2 linked regions of the Struthio camelus genome follow. The main gene of each other region encodes a partner of the protein of the gene in region 2 in a complex. Links are inferred from orthologs where the notes say so. Each region holds a gene or a part of one and is shown on either strand. Other genes may lie near its edges. The genes, in order: ASB9 and CKB.

What was found.
Region 1: the proteins of CKB (region 2) and ASB9 are in contact, whole or in part, in a cryo-EM structure (PDB 6V9H), measured with the Homo sapiens proteins. The link is inferred for Struthio camelus from reciprocal best matches to the Homo sapiens genes CKB and ASB9. Residues at the interface, in NP_001814.2 of Homo sapiens: Asn63, Pro64, Gly65, His66, Pro67, Tyr68, Ile69, Thr71, Arg130, Arg132, His191, Val198, Ser199, Pro200, Leu201, Leu202, Leu226, Trp228, Glu232, Ile238, Met240, Asn286, Arg292, Gly303, Lys304, His305, Glu306, Lys319, Arg320, Gly321; in NP_001026909.1 of Homo sapiens: Leu25, Asn27, Pro28, Leu29, Met30, Gly31, Asp32, Ala33, Val34, Ser35, Asp36, Trp37, Pro39, Glu42, Ile45, His46, Trp60, Ala67, Asp68, His69, Glu75, Ala100, Asp101, Trp102, Val111, Asp133, Leu134, Ser165, His166.

The regions. Positions count from the first base shown.
Region 1 is NC_090942.1:139,580,000-139,591,533, reverse strand, and holds the start of ASB9 (ankyrin repeat and SOCS box protein 9), read right to left. Parts: upstream 5,921-11,534; 5' UTR 5,599-5,920; coding exon 5,505-5,598; intron 1-5,504. UniProt on the Homo sapiens protein: Substrate-recognition component of a cullin-5-RING E3 ubiquitin-protein ligase complex (ECS complex, also named CRL5 complex), which mediates the ubiquitination and subsequent proteasomal degradation of target proteins.
Region 2 is NC_090946.1:72,362,372-72,374,482, forward strand, and holds the start of CKB (creatine kinase B-type), read right to left. Parts: upstream 5,474-12,111; 5' UTR 5,375-5,473; intron 4,532-5,374; 5' UTR 4,512-4,531; coding exon 4,319-4,511; intron 3,852-4,318; exon of another isoform or gene 3,842-3,851; coding exon of another isoform or gene 3,664-3,841; intron 3,174-3,663; coding exon 3,019-3,173; intron 2,088-3,018; coding exon 1,955-2,087; intron 1,044-1,954; coding exon 872-1,043; intron 1-871. UniProt on the Homo sapiens protein: Reversibly catalyzes the transfer of phosphate between ATP and various phosphogens (e.g. creatine phosphate).

The sequences.
Region 1 (11,534 bases), on a different chromosome or scaffold from region 2:
ATTTAAAACTTGGTGTTCAGAAAAGTACCACACACCAAAAACAATTACGGGAAACGTGTCAGCATAGTTCTGGTTGGATCATGGAGGCAAGGGAGGGAATCCTTAGGGTCAAATTTGGCATCAAACCTGTCAAATCATATAGGGTGTTTTTTTGAAAGATCTTTTTTGGGGGTTGCCAGGCAAAAGAATGATTTGATACATTTCACAAGGCATACCTACTTTTCCTCTGTTACGCTGCATAACATAATGGTCCGAAGAAATACATAGCTGCTGATGACTTTTATATTTCATTTCTCTAGCTGCTGTATTTGTTCATTACCTTAATATAGTGAATCAACCTAGCTTGGTGCTAGCTAAGGACCCTAGCTAGGGACCGTCCAAATTTCAGCAATACTAAGAGGACCTTTGGTATTACAGATTTCACAGCTCAGGGCCAGCTGACAGCACTAATTCCTCTGGGAGATATTCGCCATCTTCAGTAGTCATTGCCTCAAAACTCAGTGTCTAGTCTAAGTTAATGACCCAGGTTCCCCCTGCGAAGGAAAAGAAGCATTTCTGGAGGGTGTTTCATGCAGCTTCTTTTAGAAACACACTGAGCTGCCCACTGCAGCTATCCCTCTTTCCTTCCATTAAATAAAAAGAAAACCCCAAATAGCAGCTTGGGCAAGTTGCTAAGGTTTCCATCAGCTAGACCTCTATGAGGTTGCAAAAGGCCTGGTATACATTTAATTACTCTTGCAAGAGTCCTTTATGCCTGTAGAGTATATTCTTCTAGAGTAATCCATATAGGCCAAAGGATATTGCTGCTGCTCCGGTACACCATTTTTAAGCCACTAGATGTTCCCCAAAATGCTTATCTGCATAGCATACTCTGCTGATAGAGGTATTATTGTCTCTGAACAATGGCTTATTGAAGGACAAGACTCAAGAAGATTTTAGTGTTTCCCTTCTCAGACATCAAATAGTGGGTCATGGCAAGAAGCAGCTATTCAGAAAGCTAGTAGTCACACATATATCACAAGAGGGAACCAGACTGATTCCTGTGGTGCTTCTTATGCAAATGAAGTAATTAAAAAAACAAACAAACTTGAGGAACATCAAGATTTCATCTTCTCTCAAGATAACCACCCTTCCCTGCTTATGGTCCATCATGCTCCTGGCTCACACGGCAATCCCAGTGACATCCTGGAAATATTCCCCAAAGGAGAGTACCTCAGGGTAGGTTTGAAGCCTGAGGTGGGGGTGGGTTGTGGGCAGAATGAGGCCTTTAGGAAAGGAATGTCATCAGCGATGGTCAGAGAAGCAACTGATTCAGGATTTTCACTCTTTCTCCTCATTGCCTTGTCTCTGGTTGTGACTTCTACATACTTAAGGGAAGGGAAAGGAGGAGGGTTTGAAAAAAGACTGGATTCCTTGTTTTATGATAGGCTTACGTCCGCACAATCGAAGTTACCACTGGATGCCCCTTGGGGCCAGAAAGAAGCTTTATTTTGTGTTCACTGGAGACTGAGCATGGCTGGAGACAGGATGCAGACCCAGTGGCTGAGGTCCTTTTCCCTGGTCAGTATTTCCTGCTCATGGGTACAGTTAAAATGACTACCAGCTCTGAAAGCTGAAGGAAACATACCTCCAAGAGCAGACCAAGGAGGACCATCAGACATAGGGGTTGTGCCCATACTCCTCTGAGCATGGGCACAGTCGCTTTCCTGCCCTCACCCCAAGGTCTTATTTAATCAATTCCTCTTATAGCACCTTTTCCTGCTCTTCGCATGCATTCAGCATAGCTGTGGACTCCAGTTTTTTTCTGTAGGTCATAAGTTTGTTGTCAGGGAACTGACAAAATGTTTGGTGACCAGTTGACTGCGACCTGCAGATTAGATGTTTTGTGGACACTTTGAAATCAGCCGTCTATTCCACTGCTGTATGTGACTGTGAGAGACTATTCAGACTTAGCAGGCAAATCTGTGCTACCAAATAAAGAGGGCCAGGAAGATAATTAGCACTGAGCTGCTTCTCATCCACATGCTTAACTGTGAGCTTGCTTCCCATCTTATCCTGACTTGCTCCAGCTGACTCCAAAATAATACAGGGAACAGCTCAGGGAAATACTTCTTATCAAAGAAGACTCCCAAAGGGGCTCATGGACGAAGCTGCACCAGGTTGGGCCCCTTCACCTTACACAAGCCTCCCTCCACAATGCTGTCCTAACAGGCTTTGTACACGCAAACATCCTTCCTGCCACAAAGTCATGTAATGCATCCCCTCAGTTTTATGCTATGAAAATATCACTTTGCTGAGCTGTAACATGGCCCTCATTATTTCACAGACTTTGAAAAGGAAATATATATATAAAATAAAAAGGATGTCTCAGGGTAATCAAGTGAGGCCCACAGTGTGGATGTGGCCAGCTTGCTTTCAAGGGGACAAGCCTTAAGCAAGCGAGGATGTGAGGGTAAGTCAATCTACACCATTTGGTGTCAATAACAGGAATAGTTCCGGTCTCTTTCATTTAGCAGTATAGAAATAGCTAATGAGAGTGAACTCTATGAGGCAGGTTGTCTTTTCCAGTCTTGCACTCCTATGACTATGAAAGTCAAAGGGAAGCAAAATAGGGGACTGAGGAGCAACTGAAAATTCACAGAAAGATTCATCAACTCAGATGTGATTGAGGTTTGGGAGAAGCCTGAAATTTAGAAGGGCCAAAGGGTGGAAGAGACAAAACCCCGATACAGCTTCATGGGCTGTAGTGAGTGTATGAAATGAACAGATGAATGAGCTGGGGGGAGGTGCAGGGGGTGCAGGTTATAAAGGCGCCTTTAGTAATTATAGTAGCTTTTGTAATCCTCATTGCTACCACATAGTTCCAATTCTCTGCAGCCATGAACTGTACAGGCCTCAGCTGCCATCTCTCCTGCCCCAGCTCCATCTGCAGCAAACCCCTCCTCCCTGAAGGGACACCAGGGAGGCAGCCTCCTCCAGAAGGCGGCATTTTTCCCCAGTTCCTGCACCCAGGGCATCACTCTCAGGTTAATCACAAAGTTTCCATTTTATCCCTGCTCTGTTCTGGAATTTGAGTTTCTTACCTGAAAGAAAGAGACTGCAAGTGGAAGTTGGGATCTTACCCCTATTTCTGTGCAGCACAGTAGGTACACCATCAGAAATACAAATGATTAGTATTTAAGCCATTTACAAGCTTCTGAGTAAAAGCTAAGCGAATGCCAAAGCTAACTGGCCGTGGACTTTTAATACTATGAAATAGTGATTTTCATAAAAGTCCTCAGAATATTCTGCCCATGAGGGCTGCCTGCAAAGGAGCAAGGCTGGTGTACATATGTGGGACGGTGGTGTTCAATGTATGTACCACCACAGCCACAAGAATTTCTGTTTGCCAAAAATTTGTACAAGTGCTCTCTCACACAGGAACAAGCCAGTTTATCCAATACTGAAATTTAGCCAGCACCTTAGTCCACAGGCATGCTAAGTTAGGCATCAGGGTCCTCGGCATCTAGAAGTCCAAAATCCAAAAGCCCAAATTCAGTGGCATTGGGATATCTAACTCCCTTTTCACCGCTGAAAATCCCAGCCAGCCCAGGGGTTATATTAAACTTTGGATCATATTTGATTGCACTGCCATCACTTGGGCATTTGAATGCCAACAGTGTATACAGAGGGAGCCTTATATTGTTAACCACACAAACATGCAAGTCCTGACTGCTCCCTGTAGATGACAGCGCGTTCCCAGTGCCTTTCTAGAAGAGCATTCATTTCTGTGGTGATGGTTTAAAATATCTTTTTCCAGCCTCTGATCCAGCCCCTGGATGGTGCTGCACACTGGGTGCCTGTTCCCTGACTGATTTTCTTCAGCAGTGGTCCCACATGGTACTACTCCCAAGGGGCTTTGAAATCCTTTCAGCTGGAGTACACTCTTGTACACATATTTGCATAACACATATGCTTATGGCATTGTATTTAACAGTACTCTGAATGGTATTTTTCATATTGAAAGGCTTTCACAGGAAGTTTGTGATATATATAGCCAGAGCCAAATACATTCCTATTGCAAGCCACCAGAGAAGCTTATTGGCTCTGCTTAGGACCAGGCAAATCCAAGAGGTATGAGCTGAACTCTTATTTTCAAACGACCAACTCCTCAGTGTGCAGGAGGACTCCCCTACTTCTCATCCAGCTGCACGAAGCCTGACACCATTTTGCCAAAGCTCCTTTCCAGTGCAGACCTGGTTTGGTTCACGTTGTTAATAACAACGACACTCTCCTTTCCCTCCTACCCTAGCCTCACACACCCGCATATACATACATACACCCACATGAGGAGAGCAGACAGCACAGCAGACATACTGAACATCTTTGCAATGTAGGTTGCCTCTTCTTACTTTTATGGTCCTATTTTTCTTTTCGGTATGAATGGAAGAGTCATGAATAGCCCAGGAAAGGAGTTAGAATAGTGTAAAGTCATATTATCTTAATTTACCTCCTTGTTCTACTGCACTGACCATGAACTGAAGGAGTAGCTTCTCAGAAAAGAGAGCTACAGGGAACACATCTAGCTAAATTGTTATGTGAAATTTAATTACTTATCCTTTGTTACCATGTCATATTTTCACAGGCTCCAGGCCAGACAAAAGAGCAATGATCAGTGTGAGGTCATTTGTCTAAATAACTATTCACCAGTGACCACAAATGAATAATGGCCTGTCCATTGTGGAAGTACCCACTAGTGCTGACTCAGCCTTTGCAAGAATATTTATGTCTACCTAAAGGAAAAGGAAAAGAAAGGAAAAGGAAAAGGAAAAGGAAAAGGAAAAGGAAAAGGAAAAGGAAAAGGAAAAGGAAAAGGAAGTAAAAAGAGAGGGGAAGGAAAGGGAAAGGAAGGGCAGGGCAGGGAAGGGCAGGGCAGGGCAGGGCAGGGAAGGGCAGGGAAGGGAAGGGAAGGGAAGGGAAGGGAAGGGAAGGGAAGGGAAGGGAAGGGAAGGGAAGGGAAGGGAAGGGAAGGGAAGGGAAGGGAAGGGAAAGGAAGAGAAAGGAAGAGAAGGGAAAGGAAAAGAAGAGAAGGGAAAGGAAAAGAAGAGAAGAGAAAGGAAGGAAAGGGAATGGAGAAGAGAAAAGAGGAACTGAGCCAATGCTGAGCTTTCAGCTGGCACTAATCTAAGCCAAACATGCCACATTGCAACTTCTTTTTCAGTTTGTTGTGGTTTACATACTGCATTTATTTCCGCTTATACAAGCTGCACTATAGAATCAGATATTCTTTTCTGTCACGCACAAAAACAAACAAACAAATTCAGTTACAAATATGAATAGCATATAAGAAGCCTATCTGAAGTACAAGAACATGGGGACGTGTGGTACTGTACATGGACCTGCACTGTTAACAGGCTATCAGGAGGAACACGCAGCTATAGCCTGACTTTGCCCTCTCCACCCACCGCTCTTCCACCTCTGCTGGCAGACTAGAAGATTAGCGGAGAGGCAGGAGCGTTACTTACCCCTCATCAGTGGGTTTGCTAGAGAAGTTGCAGATGGCTGGCCTCCGGCTCCTGGCAATTTGCTGGTGTTTTGATTTGTTCCCTCATCATCCATCTCAGCCTAGGCTGTCCAAATTCTGTTTTTTCACTTCACAGTTGCTCTTGAGAGTTCAAATTCCATCCTCCCCGATGAACCCCTGCCTATGGGAGTAATCTATTAAGCAGGCTCTGTGTGCGCAAGTCAAACAAACCTTGCAGCAGACTGGAACTTGGTGCCGGCAGCACTTTATGCAGAAACTCGAGTACCTGGGTTAGGATTTAATGAAACACCTCCCTCACTCAGTTGGGAGGCAGCCAGCAATCAGGCAGACCACACTGTACAAAGCAAGGGACGTGCCTGATGTCATATCCTTTCCAACACTGCACCCAATCAGTACGCCTGCTGTCTGTTTTTATCAGGAAGGAAATTCTTAGTTTGCCAAAAAAACAAGACAGAAAGAGCCAGTTCAACTAGTTGAGCAAACTCTGCCTGCAGGGGATTTGTAAAGAAAACCCAGAGAGATACCAGTGTGCACTCATCTGCACCACTCATGTGAGTTGTTTGCAAGCAACTTTGCCTTGTGCCTCTCTAAGTACTGCAGAGTATGCAAAACCACTCGTGTTATCTGAAGAGCCCATGACGGTATGCAAGAAATGGAGTGCTGAATTCCTTTTACTGAGCAGTGGTCACCACATACCATAAGAATATTGAAACCACATGTTTGTAGAGCTGTGCTTTACACTGGAAGTCCTTTTTGCCTCCACAGCATGAAAAACACAGCATTATTCAGGCTGATTTCCTTCCACCCTTTTCAATCAGTTTCACTGCGTCATAGTCACACCAAGAGCTTCATATCTGAGCACTGTCTTTTTATTCTTAAGCAATTTCTCAGTCTAAAATAAAAACCATGAAGCTACCAGCAAATAAATATTAACAGACCTCCACCTCATTTCTCTGAATGCTTACATAAATCCTATCCTCACAGATCATCTCTATTTGCTCTTTTTTTGTTCCCCAATGAGTATAATTCACAAGCACAAAATCTGTTTGCTCTGCCTGAATATTTGCTCATTTGGGTACAAGTACAAGCAGGGAAGACTTGCATGTAAAATCTCACCTATGTAAATAAAAAGTAGGGTTTTCTTAAATTTGTCCCCCGGGGATGAATTTGTATCTCTTCCCAGTCCTAAGCAACTGGGATTCATTTTTATTCCTGTTTATAATGCATACAAGAGATCTGGAATCATTTTTAGATTTTTTTTTTCCACATCTTAAAAAAAAATCCATTATTTTAATAGATATAAACAGCAGCTCAACATCACTCACAAATGCTGCCTTGTGAAGGCAGCCCAGACACATCCTGGTGCACAACTGCCAATGAAGTAGGGGTGAGGACAAGGCCTGCCAGTTCCCTTGGCTTCTGAGTGTGACCACACATGCTTGATGCAAGCTTACACTTTGGTCTGCCTGGCACATATGTTTGTGTTTGAGCCATTGCAATTCCAATGTTAAAAAAGTTATGGGAAAAATTACATGTATGTAAATTCAGGAAGGTGTATAAGTATTGGTACTGACCATCAGTGTGTCAAAAACATTTTTTTCTTTTCAATAGCACTTGAGATTAGTGGCTAGATTGCTACAGCTTATGTTTAATCATATACAGAGCGGTATTAGCAAACACATCAGCTATTCCACCACTAAAAGGATCAGCATATGTGTCCACATATGTGATTATATGGCTCATAAATGAAGAAGTATTAGCTAAGACCTTTGAGTTCAGCCTTACAAAGACAGCGCCTACAAGACAAAAGTCCCTTAGTCGCTAGCCATCCAAGAAAAGGGTGACTTTGGCCATTTGGTCCTTTGACCAAGGGACCTGCTGGCTGATAGGGTAATCATTTGAGTAGTACGGTACTGGTTGCACATAGTTTAGTCATTTCCTGTTAACTAAACCTCTGCTAACCTTGACAAATGAGCTGTAATCTGGTCTTTCTTGAAGTGGATAAGGTTGCACAAAGCATCTAAAGGGGTGATGAGCCCGTAACCCTCCCCATGGCTCTGGGAAGTCTCTAGCTATTCCCTCTCTCCATTACCCCTTCTGAAACGGGCAGGGTCATAGCCCACAGACCTATTTCATCCTGATCTCCTGGTATCCTGGTCCATGTGTATTTATTTTTCATGGAAAAAATAGACACCGACATCACAAAAGAAGTTTCTAATTTAATCACACTTTACTTCCAACAGGACCGGAGAGGTCAGCACCTGGGCAAAGCCACAATGACAGTGTGCCCCGGTTACCACATCCATTCCTCAGGAACTGGGACTTCTTTCTGGGCTATAGGATCACACCCAAAAGTATCACTCTTTGATCATGCTTTCTCCTCTGTATCATGCTACATTCATGCATAACTAGATTCCGGTCTGGTGGCTGGCCCTGAAGCCTTTGCTTAGTCAGGACATCTTTGGTTCCTGTTATGAAATGCCTCCACTTTTGTTCCATTCTGAAAATATTTTATCCATACCTATCTGCTACCAAACTGGAGAAAAGGGGCCCGTTACCTGGGATGTAGCCATCCCATTCTTTGGAACGAGCAACATTTATTCAGATGTTAGTAGTTCTAGCAACAATTCTACCAAAGGTTAGACACTTGGCTGGCTATAGCTCTGTGACAGAGGGAATACAAGGTAAGAAGATAGTACAGCCAGTTAATTCAAATCTACAAAAAGTTCATAAAATTAAGCAAATTCGTACTCAAAGTCCCCAAACCAGCATACTCCCTTTTATTTCAACTATGCACCTTATCCTTTCTTTGCATCCTTAAAGCTTGCAGAACAATTCCAATTTTGGACTACTTTGAGCTGTTAGGTGGGAAATTCTAGAAATGCGTCAGTGATGAGAAGAGGTTATTACCTGTACACACACAGCAGGGGAAAAGCTACCACTTGAAAGAAATGCTGCAATCACTAGAATCATATAGTTTGATCTCCCCTGAGCCCTACATCACTACCTTACGTTACAGTTTTTGCAGGGTTAGGCCAGTGCAGGGGAAGTTAAGATGCTCTCCAGCACATGATCCTTTGTCCATCAGGACTGAGGTGATGCACGGGGCTTTGCCTAAGTCAGGGATTAATTTCACATCGTATGTATATACATATGGAAATACATATATGTTTGTGTGTGTGCGTAAATGTATATAACCAAATACATCTTTCACCTTTTTCATTTAAAACCAAGAAGTCTCTTCCACCACTAGATATGGTGAGAGAGATGGAAAAGTACTTATTAAGGGGCTTATTAGAAGTGATTATCTTAGGAGACACCCAGAACAAAAGCTTTCTCTGCACTTACTAAGGTAAAAGATGGTGTACTTGTATTTACAAGCCGATTGTGAGGTGAAGGAACAATAGGCTGATGCTCTCTCTTTTCAATTGGATGTTACAGTGGCAGTTCCTAGGCTTTATCCTTTCTAGAAGTGAAGTTTTGTGGTCATAACTTATGATGAATGAGACTTTATTTTCAAAACATAGGTCCATACATATTTTTCTTGTTGCTTGTGAAAAAGCAGATTCCTGGGACTCTCCACCATTAGCATTCACTCTATGTGATATCTGACCATGGCCCCCTCCAGCACACACACACCTTCTCCTCAACAAATCCTTTTCTGTTTGGTCAGATCTCACCTTGCAGCAATTTTCTGTCATGTACATTAACAAGGTTGGTACTATTTACAGCTGCAAGGAATCTAGTTCTAAATGTTGCCAACCAAGTTTTGTAGTAGAGGCACAATGAGTAACAAGGTAGAATTAGCAACTCAGAGAACAGAGTGAAAAACAGAGAAACAGTTTTTCTCTGCGACTGCAAAATTGCATTCCTTTCTCTTTGCTGTGGTTTTCCCCACTACTGTATTATGGGTGGCTAAGAAATCAGGATATGAGATTCCTAAGGCCACCATTGTAGGAACCACATTATTATCTCCCAGGATTAAAGCCATATTGATTATGCCTACAGTGGCAATTAAGTGTGAGTCATGGCTCGTTTTGCAATCAGATGCAGCTACCCTGCTCACAGGCTAGCAGGTGCTCACACTTGGATCAAGTCTGAGCTCTAGGGTGCTTCAGAGGGAAAGCTCAAGCCCTGAAATACCTCAATGTGAGACCATGCTCTCCTTCATCTCATTTGGATGGATGAGACACGTCCAGAACTGAGACCGTAGCCATCCTCTCCACTGACCAAGCGTCATACTCCTCCGAATTATGTTATAGTTACCCTTATGCTGATATGCAGCCAGATTAGAGCAGCAAGTAGCTAGAAAACTTATGTCAAGGACTTGGCAAGTTTACAATGTCTCTTGGCATCTTGCTTCAGCTAGTAGTTTGGACATACATACAGAAGCAGTGCATTGGCTTTGACCTGGTTGGCAAATATACCGGCAAACAAAATCAGCTGGGACCATTTGCCTCTTTCAGCATCATTTTCCTCCAAATGGCAACATCGGGATAAATATAACTCCCTAGATAAAACACCCCCAGGTTAGGATATTATGATAGCGTTTATAGAGCCTGGCTAGGCACTGAGAAAATGCGAGAAAGCTCTGATTCATTTAATTAGACTGATTGCAAATTTTTTTTGGATGAAAACAAAATATTCTCAAACAACAAAGGAACATGCTTTAACATCAACCTGGATCTGAAGATAAGCAGCACACAAAACTTCAAATACAGATTAGAAACAGAGCTTACACAATACAGATACACCAGTCGTTACAACGGTATTTTCCATTTAAATAGCACCTACATTTCTGTGTTTTACAAAAACAGATCTAGCTACAGAAATCACTTTACTCAGATGCAACCATCCTGTGTGGATAAAAGTGTACAGTAAAGCTGAGTATATGATACTCAATATTACTTTCTCTGTTTACTAAAGATTTTATAAGCTAGCCACATTTTTTTCCTTCAAAGGCATTTTTTAAAAATAATTCAATGAAATGCTCTACTACCTTGATGGCTTCTCTCACATGCTGGTCAGTTTTTAAACTGTGTATGTCAGTTATTAATCACAGAAGAGATTTTATTACTATTTGCAAGTTTAGACAAGCACAATAGGATACAAATCACAGAATTACAGAAAATATTTGGAAAACTGGACACAAAACATGAGGTTCATTTAATTCAACTTTAGAGTCTGAAACAGGAACTCTAGGTTTCCTTTAGAGTTAATGAAGAGAAATAGGCATTTGAAGGTGGTGATTCATCTGACCTATTTAGATGTCTGCTTTAGGAGGATATGAATTGGGCCTTTAAGAGCCTACAAAGGCACTTCACTGATTTAAACAGATTCCTTTATGACAAACTTGTCCCTCAGATGACAAACTGAGATACGGGTGTGCATGTTTAATCAAACGAAACGCACTTTAATAGTATGGCTAAAATTAATTCAAGTGACCCAGCCCTGAGCACACATGCCAACACTGTGTTGTGCACTCTGCACTGCATAGCCTCTGAATGCAACAGTTTACGATGGAAGGTCTTCACTTCTTCACAGAAAAGAATCATTTAAATAAGCAAAATGCAGCCCCCCAGCCTAGGATTTGCCTAGAGCTAGGGGCTATTGCAGAATCCTGAGCAAGCATCAGGAGTATGTGTGGCAATGTGCAACATGAATGGACCTCTGTCCTCTATGTCCTCCGGCCTAAGTCCAATGTTGGCCCATCCTTGAACTGTAAGACCATTTCTTTGGAGTAAGTACCTCTCAGAGGAGAGGCTTTTGATGGAGACCTCTGGCAGATGTAGCTGCAATGGTCTAAGCTGTTGCTACCCACAGCTGCCTGCCCCATTCCCCACTTTCAGCAGACGTTAACCACATCCTTGCAAGGGATGGAAGCATGGGCTGCACATAGATGCCTCCACCGCCTTAGTGCGCAGTCCATTATATTAGCTCAAAAACTCGTAATTTTTTTTTTTTTTCCACTAATACTCCAACCTATAAACTTGAGCCCTGAGACACGATT
Region 2 (12,111 bases):
GTATTTATGCAGACTGCATTGAGACTTTACACTTCAACCTTGTAGATTAGTCATGCTCAGATGACAGCGCTATCTAGTGTTGGCAATCTGCAGGTAGATGATGCAATCTTAAAGGTGACCTACAGAAACAGCGTGCTTCCCCTGGGTTGTCCTGAAGCAGCTACAGTAACAAGCTTGCAGGATTCTAGCTGGTAAAAAACCCTAGCCCTTATCTTAGAAGGGAGCAAGTTAATTATGCTGCAGAAGCTCCTGAGATGCAGTTTTATGTAGATGTGGCCCACATCTAACACGTAGAATCGTTCCATTCCACACCTGTGCATCAGTCAACTTATGCCACAGAGTCTCTAGAGTGGAAAATCTCATCGCTCATACAGATAAAGCATCAGAAGCTACAGGTTGAATTTTTGCAGGAAGAGGCAATGAGACTGTAAGAGAGCAATTACATCTGCAGTATGAAGTCTGCAGCTAAACCAACGCTCTTGTTTATTACCATAAGACGCTCAAACTCCTGGGACAACAGCTGAATGCAGTGGCACATTTCCTTTACAGGAAAGTGATCTACCTTCCTAAAGTTTTTGTAATCGTCTGGTGTTTCACAAAATGTGCAGAATGGAAAGGCATTGGCTATAGCCACACTAGCTTATTCTTATGCACCACATTCAGCTGGTACCACTCATCCAAATTCTGCTGGTTCAGATGCAAGTTCCCCAAAGGATATAACACAGAAGCTTACCATTAGATTTGGTAAGGGAAGTTCAGAAGCTGCCATTTTGCTTTGATACAACTCACTGGAACCAATGTTACAACCAATATTTCAAGATATTTTTCCAAGTATCTAACACAACACCTCCTCCTTTCCAGGAATACTCACCAGATACCCCTGGCATCAGGCCAGTCTCGTGCCATCCCAGATGCCAACAGAAGAGGAGAAACTGGCTTGTCAAATAAGAAGTGATCGTCAATCAGCTGCTGCTGCTCTGCATCAGTCATGTTCCTCAAAGCATAGTACTTCCCCTTGAGATCACCTTCCAGACTACCCAGAGCTGAAAGAGAGCATCACTTTTAGGACAGGGCCAAAGATGCTAGACAGTCTCAGCGCTTTAGAGATCACATGCAAAGTACGGCAATGTCTGATCTGCTGGTTTGGGTTCCTCCCTTGCTTTCATCTGTAATGACAATGCCCCTGTAGCATTACAGAACTTAAAGCAGTATCAGATGATTTGTCTCTACCTTCCAGGCTTGTACAAGTAGCCTTTGTTCCCTTATGTACAGTTTAGGATCATTACTGCTGCTTAACTGTAGAGCTGCAGTGCTTCCAAGGAGAATTAGGGTCATGAATATAACAAACTGCATTATTCTAGACAAGGACCGATACCCTGCCCTAAAGCGGTTTTGGAAGGGCCACGCTGCCAGTCTCCCAGACAGGACCTTGGGTATATCCTCTCTTCTCACTTAAAGGAAACAAGGAAAAACTGCAGTTGAGGAGTTCCACTGAGAACTAGAGCTTATTCCAGTCAACTGCACAATCAGCAGAGTGAGGCTATACCTCTGAGCAAGCTGAATGTTAATGAAAGTCAATTAAAAGCAGCCACAAAAAACTGTAGCCATGACTCAAGCCCTGACATTGCTACATACCTATTACATTTCAGGTTTGAGCCATGATGAACCAACTCCTTTCCCCACACACACAGGAAAAAAACCAAAAAACTTTCTGGATCGGTGAAGGTCAGCTTAACATAGTCCAGCTTCCCTCTGCCATGTCCTCTTTTTCCTCAGCTACAAACGGCAATGCTGATGCAGTTACAGTTCAAACTGCCCTTTGCAGAGAAGGCTCCAGGTTCAGATTAGGAGTCTTGAAGACTTTTGCTTATTGCCTCCATTCTCAAACCACCAAGAACATCTCTTGCCCAAAGGATATAAGGAGCTTTCCCAGCACACCCAGTTCTCACCTTACCTTCAACAGAGAGTTTTTCAATAGCCCGCCTCTCCCCTCGACTACAGTGAGGGGGAAGACAGAATCCACGGATGCTCCTACCAGTTCTTACACGGGAACTTAGCACGTAATTAGGATCCAGATCATCACCACCCTACAAGATTAGGAAAACAGTGAGTACAACTTTGTTATCAAAATACCTACCCTAAATATAAGTAGCTCCCACGCATTTCAGCACGGCCCCTAAACTTCAGATATTGACTACCTGGCCTGTAAGCTGATGTCTTAGTTCAAGACCACTCTCTGCAGCATGAGCTCAAATACTTGTCCAACGTAACCCTTGTTTTGGGTCTCAGACTAGGGCTACTAAACATGTACTAGACCTCAGGATTACCAGACGACAAACAGTTGTAGGTCTGCTTCAGACCTGCATCTGGGGTTTTGTTCCCTCTTCAGATCTGGAATCCAGGTGTCACATAAGGCAAACCTTTGTTATTTGGGTAGGTGTTTACTCTTGCAAGCGAGAATTATTCACAACTGCCATTCAGAGTGTTTTAGTTTAAGATGACCCACAGTTAGGAGTTTCTAATACCATCATCGTTGGCTAGGGTCTGCAGTAAAATTTGAAATCTGTAAGAGCACGTAAAAAACCTTACTCCTGGCCATAACAAAGGCTATTCTATAGTATGACATCGCTAGGATAGCTTCCGTTTTTCGCTTGTTTTCAAAGATCCAAGATCAGATGGTAAAAAGTATTAAGACTTATGACAGCCCTCAAGTCCTAGGACAGTGCTGTTAAAGCTTGACCACAGCAGCTCATGGCTGATGAAAACATGAATTCAACATTTGGCAGGGCTACACTACAGGAGCACATGAAGCAAGCTCCTTTCATCCGCCAGCTGCATGGCTCTACCCAGCCACACGGGCAGGCTCTTAAATTGTGGATTACAATGGACAAATTGCTTGTTAGCCTGTGCAGGGTGAAACTGGAAGGGCAAAACGTGAGCAATCATTTTACACAACTGCCAACATCTGTGTCCAGGCCTCAGACCACTAGGCATCAATAACCGATTAAAAATGTATACCTGCAGATTATCAGCATTCAAGTCAGTCTTGTGCTCATCAGTTGGTTTGTAGCCACCATGCCTGTCTTCAATAACCGGATCAAAGAGTTCCTTAAACACATCATAGGATTCTTCATCACCAGCTACGCATCCTACTGTCATTATGAAGGGATGGCCTGGAGCGGTAATAAAGTCAGAAGAGCTAAGTTCGGGTGATGTCTTGCTGTACTCCAGAGCAGCACTAACCAGGCAAGTTCTTTAGTGGTAGGACTAGTCATTTAGAAATGCATTCTTACATTAAAGAACCAGGTGGAGAGACCCTATATTTTACATTTAATCCATTTAGTCAAATCAGTGCTATGGAAACCCATAGCTTTTGCCATTAAGCCATGCTCATTTGTCAAGTTTGGTTTCAGACAATTTTGCCCAGCACTTCCAATTTTACTAATTTAGACCACTGGGTAGAACTTTATGCCCAAACAATTATGCTGCTCTGCTGTAAGCAAGCATGTTTGTTTGATGTTTTTTGGTTCATACTGCCATAGACAGAGCAGCATTTCTATGGTCTACTCAAACGCCACCTTCACAAACTTAGTTTAAGTTGCCATATTCAAAAGCACCAGTTATTTCAGCTGGTTCACACAGAACGTTCTCAATGCATTTTACCAGGATTATCAACCCCAGTCTGAATGACATCATCCAGGGTGAAGCCACTGGGTGTGACTCTGTCTCTCAGTTTCTTGTATAAATCCAGGGTTAGAACTTTGGCCATGTGGTTGTTGTGGCTGCTCAGGTCCGGGTACTCCTCATCAGGAGGCAGTCTCTGATTATTTAGTTGGGCCATTTTGATATTGCTAGAGCAAAAATAAATACTGTAATGTTAACATGTAAACACATCTGCTCCCCCTGTTTTCAAAGAAGTGCTACAGAGCATCACATAACCGGTCTGGAACAGGAAGAGATCAGAACAGCTAGGTAAGCCCACATAATGTCAGGGCTTTTTCCTTCCCCCCGCTCTAGTTGCGTTATAATTAGAGCACACTCAGTTTGTGTTTTTTTTTTCTCCCCAAATTGGAAGTATTTAGCAGAGCAGTTACATAATTGAAGTGTCTGAGAGTTGATATGCCAGATCATAGCAAGGAACATGGCCTGACAGAACAAGGCCTCTTTTAACACAGCCATGCGTTTAGAGCTGTCTCTCACTGCTTTATGAGATTTGCCTCTCAGCAGCTCAAGAGCCTTGGGCGCTGTTGTCAAGAAGCACTTCCAGTAACGAGGGAGAACAGATCATTAATGCAGCTCTAACGGTTCTGGCCGTTACCTGGGTTGTCAACCCCAGTTTGGATGACATCATCCAGCGTAAATCCACTGGAAGTCTGTTTATCCCTCAACTTCTTGTACAGGTCCAGGGTCAGCACCTTGGCCATGTGATTGTTGTGAGCACTCAGGTCTGGGTACTCATCCTCAGCAGAGTTCTTCATCTTCAGCAGGTTGTGGCTGTTTGAGAACGGCATGTCTGACCCTACCGCAGACACTAGGGGAAAGAGAGGGGAAGCCTATCACCCCAGCTGCGAGACAGTCCTCCAGAACCGCCCTGGGAGGAGAGCCACGGGCAGAGGCAAGGTCACCTTGGCTTTTGTTCCACCGGTGCCTTTTACGCACCTTGCTGCTACAACACCTTCCACAGGAGGAAGGAGATTTTAAAAAAAAAAAAAAAAAAAAAAGATTGTCACCTTCACAAGCCTTGTCCCGTCTCCCTAACACGGCCCAGGCGCGAAGGCAGGGCCCCTTCCCCCTCCCCTCGGGGCACCGCCGGGCGCGCAGCGGGCGCAGCCCGGCCGAAGGGACGCGCCCAAGGTCGCGCGGCCCCTCCGCGGCGGCGGCGGCGCCGGGCAGCGCCCGCCCCGCCCCGCGGCAGGTGAGCGGCGCGGTGCCCCGCCGCCCTCTCCGCTCGGCGGAGCGGGTCTTGGGGGAGCGTTAGCCAAGCCCGTACGCAACGGACGCCCCGTGGGGGAAGGGGGGGGGGGGCGGGCTGGGGTGAGCCTATGTAACTACCCTGCTAAATACCGGGTGAAGCCGGTTGTAGAGCGGGAAGCGGCGGCGCCGGGGCAGCCCCCGCGAGAGGCTGCGGCCGCGCCGCTGCGGAGCCTGAGGTCTCTCTCCCTCTTCGCCGGTTACGTGCCCGGCGCGCCGCGCCGCGCTGCCCCCCGCGCCTCGCCCGCAGCCCCGGCGGTTGCCGGCGCTCCCTCCCCCTCCGCGACGCCTTGGCGGCCGGACCGGCTCCAACCCCAGCGACGCGATAAAAAAAAAAATTATATATTAAAAAAAATAAGAAATGAAATAGCTGCAGGACGGCGCGGCTCACCCCGGGACTTACCGAGGGCTCCGCAGCCAAAGGAAGGACCTGCGCTCCCGCACCCCACCGCTGCCCTAGCCGGAGTGGAGCCCCAGCGCTACTGCCGCGCCTCTTTTATATAGAGCGGGACCCGCCGCCCCATTGGCTGCTATTTATAGCCCATTCATTCCATTGGGCGAGCCGCGAGGTGGGCGGAGCGAACGCCCCGTTGCTGGCCAGGCCCCGCGTTGCCGCCATCTTGCTTGGCCTGGTGGAGGCAGGAGGCGTTGGGCGGGTGGGCGCGTGGCGGGGGGTGGGCGCCGGGGGCCGGCGGGGCCCGCGCGCCGCTGCCAAGAGGCGAGGGCTGCCCCAGCGCCTTCCTTCGCTCCCCGCGCTGACGTACAGGAAAACTCATCGCTGCGTTGCCCTAACCAAGTGTTTTCCACGAATCGCGGTGCCTTTAGCCAACGCGGCGGCGTGCGAGGCTTGTTGCCGTTCAGGGGCTCTGCCTTGATCAAGGATTCAATAACGGGTGCGATAATCTGCTGTCTTAAAAATAAGACACTTTGTAGTGTCAGGACCAGCACGACCTGTTAACTTGATAAAGGCTGCTGATAATGGCTGTAAGCCTGCTGCTTAGCCTCCAGCACCTGAAAGTAGTGGGTTCACCTTACAGTCTAATTTGAAGGATCTACCACTTAATTCTGTGCTTAGCCTCCACCACCTCAGAAGCGGTGGGTTCATCTTACAGTTTAATTTGAAAGAAAGTATGTTTATTGTGTAAATAAACACACGGCACGGCAAGCCTCCTACTCTGTCACGTGCCAAAAAAAGGGGGGGGGTGTATTGGAGGGTGGCTGATTTCCTATTGAAGACAGAAGCAGAAAGGCTGGGATTTGGTCCATCTAAAATTCACCTTAAATTCATGAAAATAGCACTGTTAGCTTCTGTTGGTGTATTTGTAGCGATGAGAAGGATTTGCTCCAAAGTTAGAGAAGCTGAGAATTGCACGGTTTGCAAGAATAAGTAAATAAATAGATTAAAAAAAAGAATGACTATCTTGATCTTACTTCTACCTCGATAGCTCTTCTTTATCTTTCTCTTAAGCGTATCTCTCACAGCAGAATCCATGTTTATCCTCCTGTCCAGCTGGGCAGTACATTTATCCATATGCATGCAGATCTAAGTCACAGAGTTGTTTTGTTCGACATGAGTTGCGAATGTTAGGAGACACCAATAGAAATTCTTTCCCCACCACAATTCTTTCAGCACCACAACCAGTACCCTTATTCAGATGACAAGTGTAAGCAGTTTACAGAACTGTTTAGGGTAAAAAAAAAAATATAGGAAATCGTTATAAAATAAAAACATAGACTGCTTCAAATAAAAATGCACTGTGTTTGGCTGCCATCCAAATTTCCAAGTTATTCCAGGTCTGATATACAGCGATGCTGAATATACAAATCTCCAGAAGTCAAGGGCTCTGCATCTGTGCAAGTCTGGTTTCTTATCTCCCGGATCAAAGAACAAATCCTCTCAGTGTCTCCTCTGGCTTTTTAACCTCACAAAATCTTCCCCAACCTTTTAGCAGTCATGTGTATTCACACAGTGCTCATACTTCAATAGAGCATAAGTTGCAAATAACGCCATTGCTGAGCAAATATGAAATGAATGTAAGTGCAAAATCAGACCCACTTGTCACAGTTGTTATTCTTAACTTAGAACAATATAAAAATATTAAGAATGTACTCCTATATTACAAGTACACTTATTTCTTCACAAACAACATGCTTTGCTTACCAGAGAAGGTACTGAAGGCTCCTTCTGTCTTCTTCCAAAATCTCCCACCACACACAGAGAGGCAATCGACTGTTCTTTACAATAACTGTTCTGTAGATTCATGGAGTCAAGCTCACCTCAGGAATCAAATTTCCAGGGATCCATTTCTATTTATGGGATATGCTCTTTCCCTCCCAGTCCCAGAGCAAGGAATACCAGTCACTATAGTTATTATAAGCTAGTGGTGTTCTAAATGTGCCATTCATTATGGCACTTCCGACGCACACGCACACACGTTTTCCTCGCAAAACTGCTGTCTGGAAAAGAAAGGCACATGAAAAGAGAGGGTCATGGCAAGAACGCAATCAAAACATATCCAATTTACATGCTTAATACACTTTGCACCCTCTGTCCCCCTTTTCTCACCATTATTTGACAAATTTTCTAATAAGCAATATGGCAGAAGTAGCCATTACTTGACTGGGTTTTACTCAGGCAGCATTTTCAGATTTGCTGAAAGCTGTGTGTAAATTGGATCCTACCTTTGTCACAGTGTCCCATCCCAGCTTCCCTAGTGACTCAATTATAGATGCTGTGCTGTGTGTCAACAGACTCTGATCAGCCATTTTATCTGGCTCATCTGCTGAGTGAATACTTCGTTCAGATAAGCCTGTATTGCCTGTTAGACTATGATAAAGGCACCAGTCTGTACCTTCTCTGCCAGGATGGATGATGTCTTAGTGCATACTGACTGATCCACTACGTTGCAGTTTTGCAGCTCAAGGTGGAAAAGCGGGATGACTACTCCAGAGATCTCTGTAGTGAGCTTTAACAATGAAGAATTAAGGGATGTTAATCATGCTTCGTGCAGCTAACTTCCTAAGAGGCTTAATTATAAATGTTGTGCAGTGTACAACTGCAAGAGGAGATGAGCGTTAGCTAGTGCACGTCTTCTGAAATTACTCACGTGAACGTACGGTGAACTCGAAGAACTAGAGGATAAACCTCTTCTTGGGAATCCAGAAGAATATCCCAAATTAGGAAATGGCAAGAGAAAGTGGTTCACTATATATAACTGAATTGCTACCAGTGCCTACATGACAAAAATTGGTTATAAACTGTCACTAAACAGCCCTTGAAAATGAAACGTAACAGTTCTACATCAACAGATGAAAGGAGTTGGTTATAGCTGCATCTGATGCTCAGCTTCCCAAATGGAACTTCTTTGCCCATTTAAATGGCTCACTCAAGTCTATCTGCCTAATTATTGTCCTTGCGTTTTTTCACACTGGTTGGGCAGTCTGTTGAAAAAGCACCGATAATTTCCACAGAGCTGAGTACCTTTGGAAATTAAGAGCTGCTGAGAGTCTTGATCTTGTATGCAGTTAGGTCCTCAGTAATTTGAACAGCAGTTCATCCTGGGAGAGAAAGGACACAAGAATATAAGCGATGACAAACACGACCAATGACACAAGAAACGACACAGAAAAAAAAACATGGTAGGTGCAAATCTAAAGGCACAGTGGAGCCATGCTTGCCAGTCAGAAAAACAGCTGAGTAGGAGTTTGCCGTTTAAGAAACCTCTGAAGCTGCATACATTATGTTTAGATTAGAAAGATGAAGGAGAGTTTCATAACTAAATAACAAAGACTACTGCAATTATGATATGGGCAGGTATAGTTGGTCAATAGCGTAACAAAAAATATGCAGGTTCCTGCTCTCCCTGGGGGTAACAAATGGGCCAAACTTCCCTTATCTCCAAATGGAATCACATCCATGCAAAACTCACAAATTGCCCTCTAGACAGCTTTGGGGTAAGTATACAATTACTGCGGTTTTGACATCTGAAAGAACGACTTTTTTTTCCCCCCTCGGTATTGTGCATTATAAATGGTTAGCGAATTCAGGAGGGTACGGAGCATTATCTGATCGCGATGAGGACGTCACCTGCACATCCGAGGTGATTCACCCGCTCTCTCTGTTTTGCTGGCGCCCCTCCCATGCCAGGTGGCCTGGGCTTGCCGGAGGCAGCAGATGGAGCGATACTCCCCTCCTTTGCTCCTCCTCGCCTCCCGCCAACGTCCCCCATACCACCGGGGCACCTACAGCTCGCCACATCATCTGAATCCGCAACATGAGACGTATGTAGGAGTTAATACCATGCTATTCGGGGTTGAGAGAACGATTCTGCTCCTTCTGAGCCCACATTCTGTTGCTGGATTTTTCCGTAGCCTTAAAAAAAGGCTGGCGCGAAGAGGCTGGTTGGCCTCGAGCGCCTTTCCCGGGAGCGGGCTGCCCTCAGGCAGCGCGCGCAGAACTTTCTGGAAGCGCCAGCCGGCGGGGCCGGGGGAAGTCCCGCTCCACCCAGGGCGGTGGCCAAGCCACTTACTGGGGAAGGGGCTTCTGGAAGGTTCCCCGCGGGCTCCTTTGGTGGCTGGCAAACACCAGCCCCCGCTACCTTCTCCTCGCCACCGTCGGGTTGCAGGGGGGGGGGGGGGCTGTCTCCCGGCAGGAGCCAGAAGCAGGCGGGGAGCGGGAGGGGGCCACCCGGGCCAGGCTGCTCGCCCAGCTTTAGGCGCAGCCCGGCCGCCTCCCGCCGTCCAGACCCCCAAAGGCTCCGCGGCGGGCGAGGGACCGCTGAAGTTTCCCTCAGGGACGCGGCAAACAGCAGCCCCCAGAGCGGGCCGAGAGCCCGATCCCCGGCCGCCGCCACGCCGGCGGCTCGGCGAGGGCTGCGGAGGGCGGCAGGCGCCCGTCCCTCCGGCCCGGAGACACAGCAGGGAGGGGGCCTCGCTGCCCTCACGGCGGGGGCGGGAGGGGGGCAGTCGGTTTGCCCCGGTGTCGCGCTGTGGGGACGGGCAGGGCTGGCGGGGGCGGAGGCGGCGGGGAGGCGGGAGCGTCAGCAGCCTGCGACCGGGGCGGAAGGCGGTGCTGGGCGGGCAGCGCGTGTGAGGAGAGCGGAGCCGGGCCGGGCCGGGCCGGGGGCTCAGCCCCGGGAAGGTAACGGCTCCGGGCATGGGGGGAGAGCTGGCGGCTGCTGGGGGCGCGCCGACCCTCGGCTCCCCGGGCGAGGCCCTGAGGCGAGGCGGGGGCCGAGACCGGGTCGCGGCGCGTCCCGCTGCGTGCGCGGCGGCGGCCGCCGCCCGGGCCTGTCACGGGTTAACGCTGCTTATCGGGCGCCCCCCCCCCTTCCCGCTTTATTTGTGCTTCTAATTCCCCCTCAGCAAACAGAGAGTTTAAATCAACGGGCTGTGGGCGCGGCCGCGGAGCGGCCCTTGGTCCCCGCGTTGGCCGAAGGGCGCCCAGGAGGTGGGGGCTGAGCTGCTGCCCTGCCGCCGGGAGAGGGGCTTCAGCTGGCGAGCGGAGGGGAGGAGACAGCCCTCGGCCCCGGGAGAGGGCAGCAACCCCCGCTTTTATTATTACTGCTGTTACTTAGGGGAACGTAGACTCATTTTAGCGGCCTAATTTGTAAGATTGCGAAGGATCACCTGGGCCTAGGCCAGTGCAGTCCCAGGAAGCGTGAAGGCTCATAGGGGCTTCCCGGCCCCCGGCCGCAGCCTCCCTTCCCCTGCCCTCCCGCTGCCCCCCAGCACCTTCCGGCAAATGATTAGGGGCTGTAGGTGTCCGCCATGGGGGGAGGCAGAGCAACTGCCCGAGCGATAATGGTTCCTGCAAGAGTGCCCTGACAGAGCCCAAATTTACCCCCCAATGTACGAATATAACAGGCTAGGTGAGCGCCCGAGAGGGCTGTCGCTTGGGATGTCAGCATACATTGCTGGGAGATGAGCTGTCATAAATGTGGCGGCTCAAAAGAAGGCAAAGAAACCAGGAGCCAGTTTATGTGGTCAAAGGGAGAGTAATTCTTTCCTTGTCCCTGCAGACATGTGGGGACGTTGCTCTTGCCTATTGGCATAACTGCGGTCGAAATACTGTAAAAGAAAGGGACGGCAGTCAAGCTGCTTTCAATGGTATTATTGTAAATGCGAACTGAAAACTGCGTGTTTCATTTATGGTGTCTAGAATGAGAACTGGAAGTGTAATTTATGAGAGATCAAGATCATCAATATAATCAGATGGTGCAAGCTATAGCAGGGGGTTAAACCTAACTGTACTATCTCACATACAAAGTGCAATGTGTTTACATTTCTGAATTAACAGTATGCCCTTCTTACAGTTTCACCGTAAAGCCAGACAGGGCTATTCTCTTTTGCTGTGTGAATACCTATGATTGCATGTTAAAAGCTTTGGAAATGTTGGCCATAAATGCATTTGTTTCTCAGTCTCAATGATTTCAGCAGAAAAACTAAAAATCAATCTAGCTGCTTAGGAGCAAATTAAACTACAACGAGTTGTGATCAACAAAAACGGACTAGAAATTTAGAACTAAAATTAAAGTTCTTAATGAAAATAATGAAGTATGACAGAGCTATTACGCATGCAGTAAAATAGCACTGGCATCAAACCATTGTTCTGAAACTAAAAATAATGCTGCTTTTAATTCTCTTACTGAAGAAGTACCCAGAATTCAAACTTCCAGAGCTTTCTGTCATAGACTAACTTCTGACTTTGGGATTACCGTTGCCTTGTTAGACAATTCCTTCCATGAATTGATCAAGCAGCAGCTTAGATTGCTGGCTGCCACATCTGAAAGGCAATGGCAGATTGTATCATAAGCAGCCTTCCAATTTCCAGGTTTTCTTCTCAAAAACAACAAAATTTAATTGTAGTTCTCTAAGCAGCTTCAATAACACGGGCCTAAAGCAGTACAGCTGTGTTTGCGTTAGCTTGCAAATAGTTGTCTCCATCCAGTTGCAGCACAGCTCACTTCCCAGACAATTACTTTGCGCCCCCAATCGCAAATGGAAGGCCTGAGTACCATTTATTCCTTGTACTCAGTCAAATTTATACATGAACTAATGCAGATACTGCCTTTATCCTGTCTCAGACACTTGACTTACATTGTAAATCATCAAGGGATAAGGCAGCAGAAGGAAATAAAA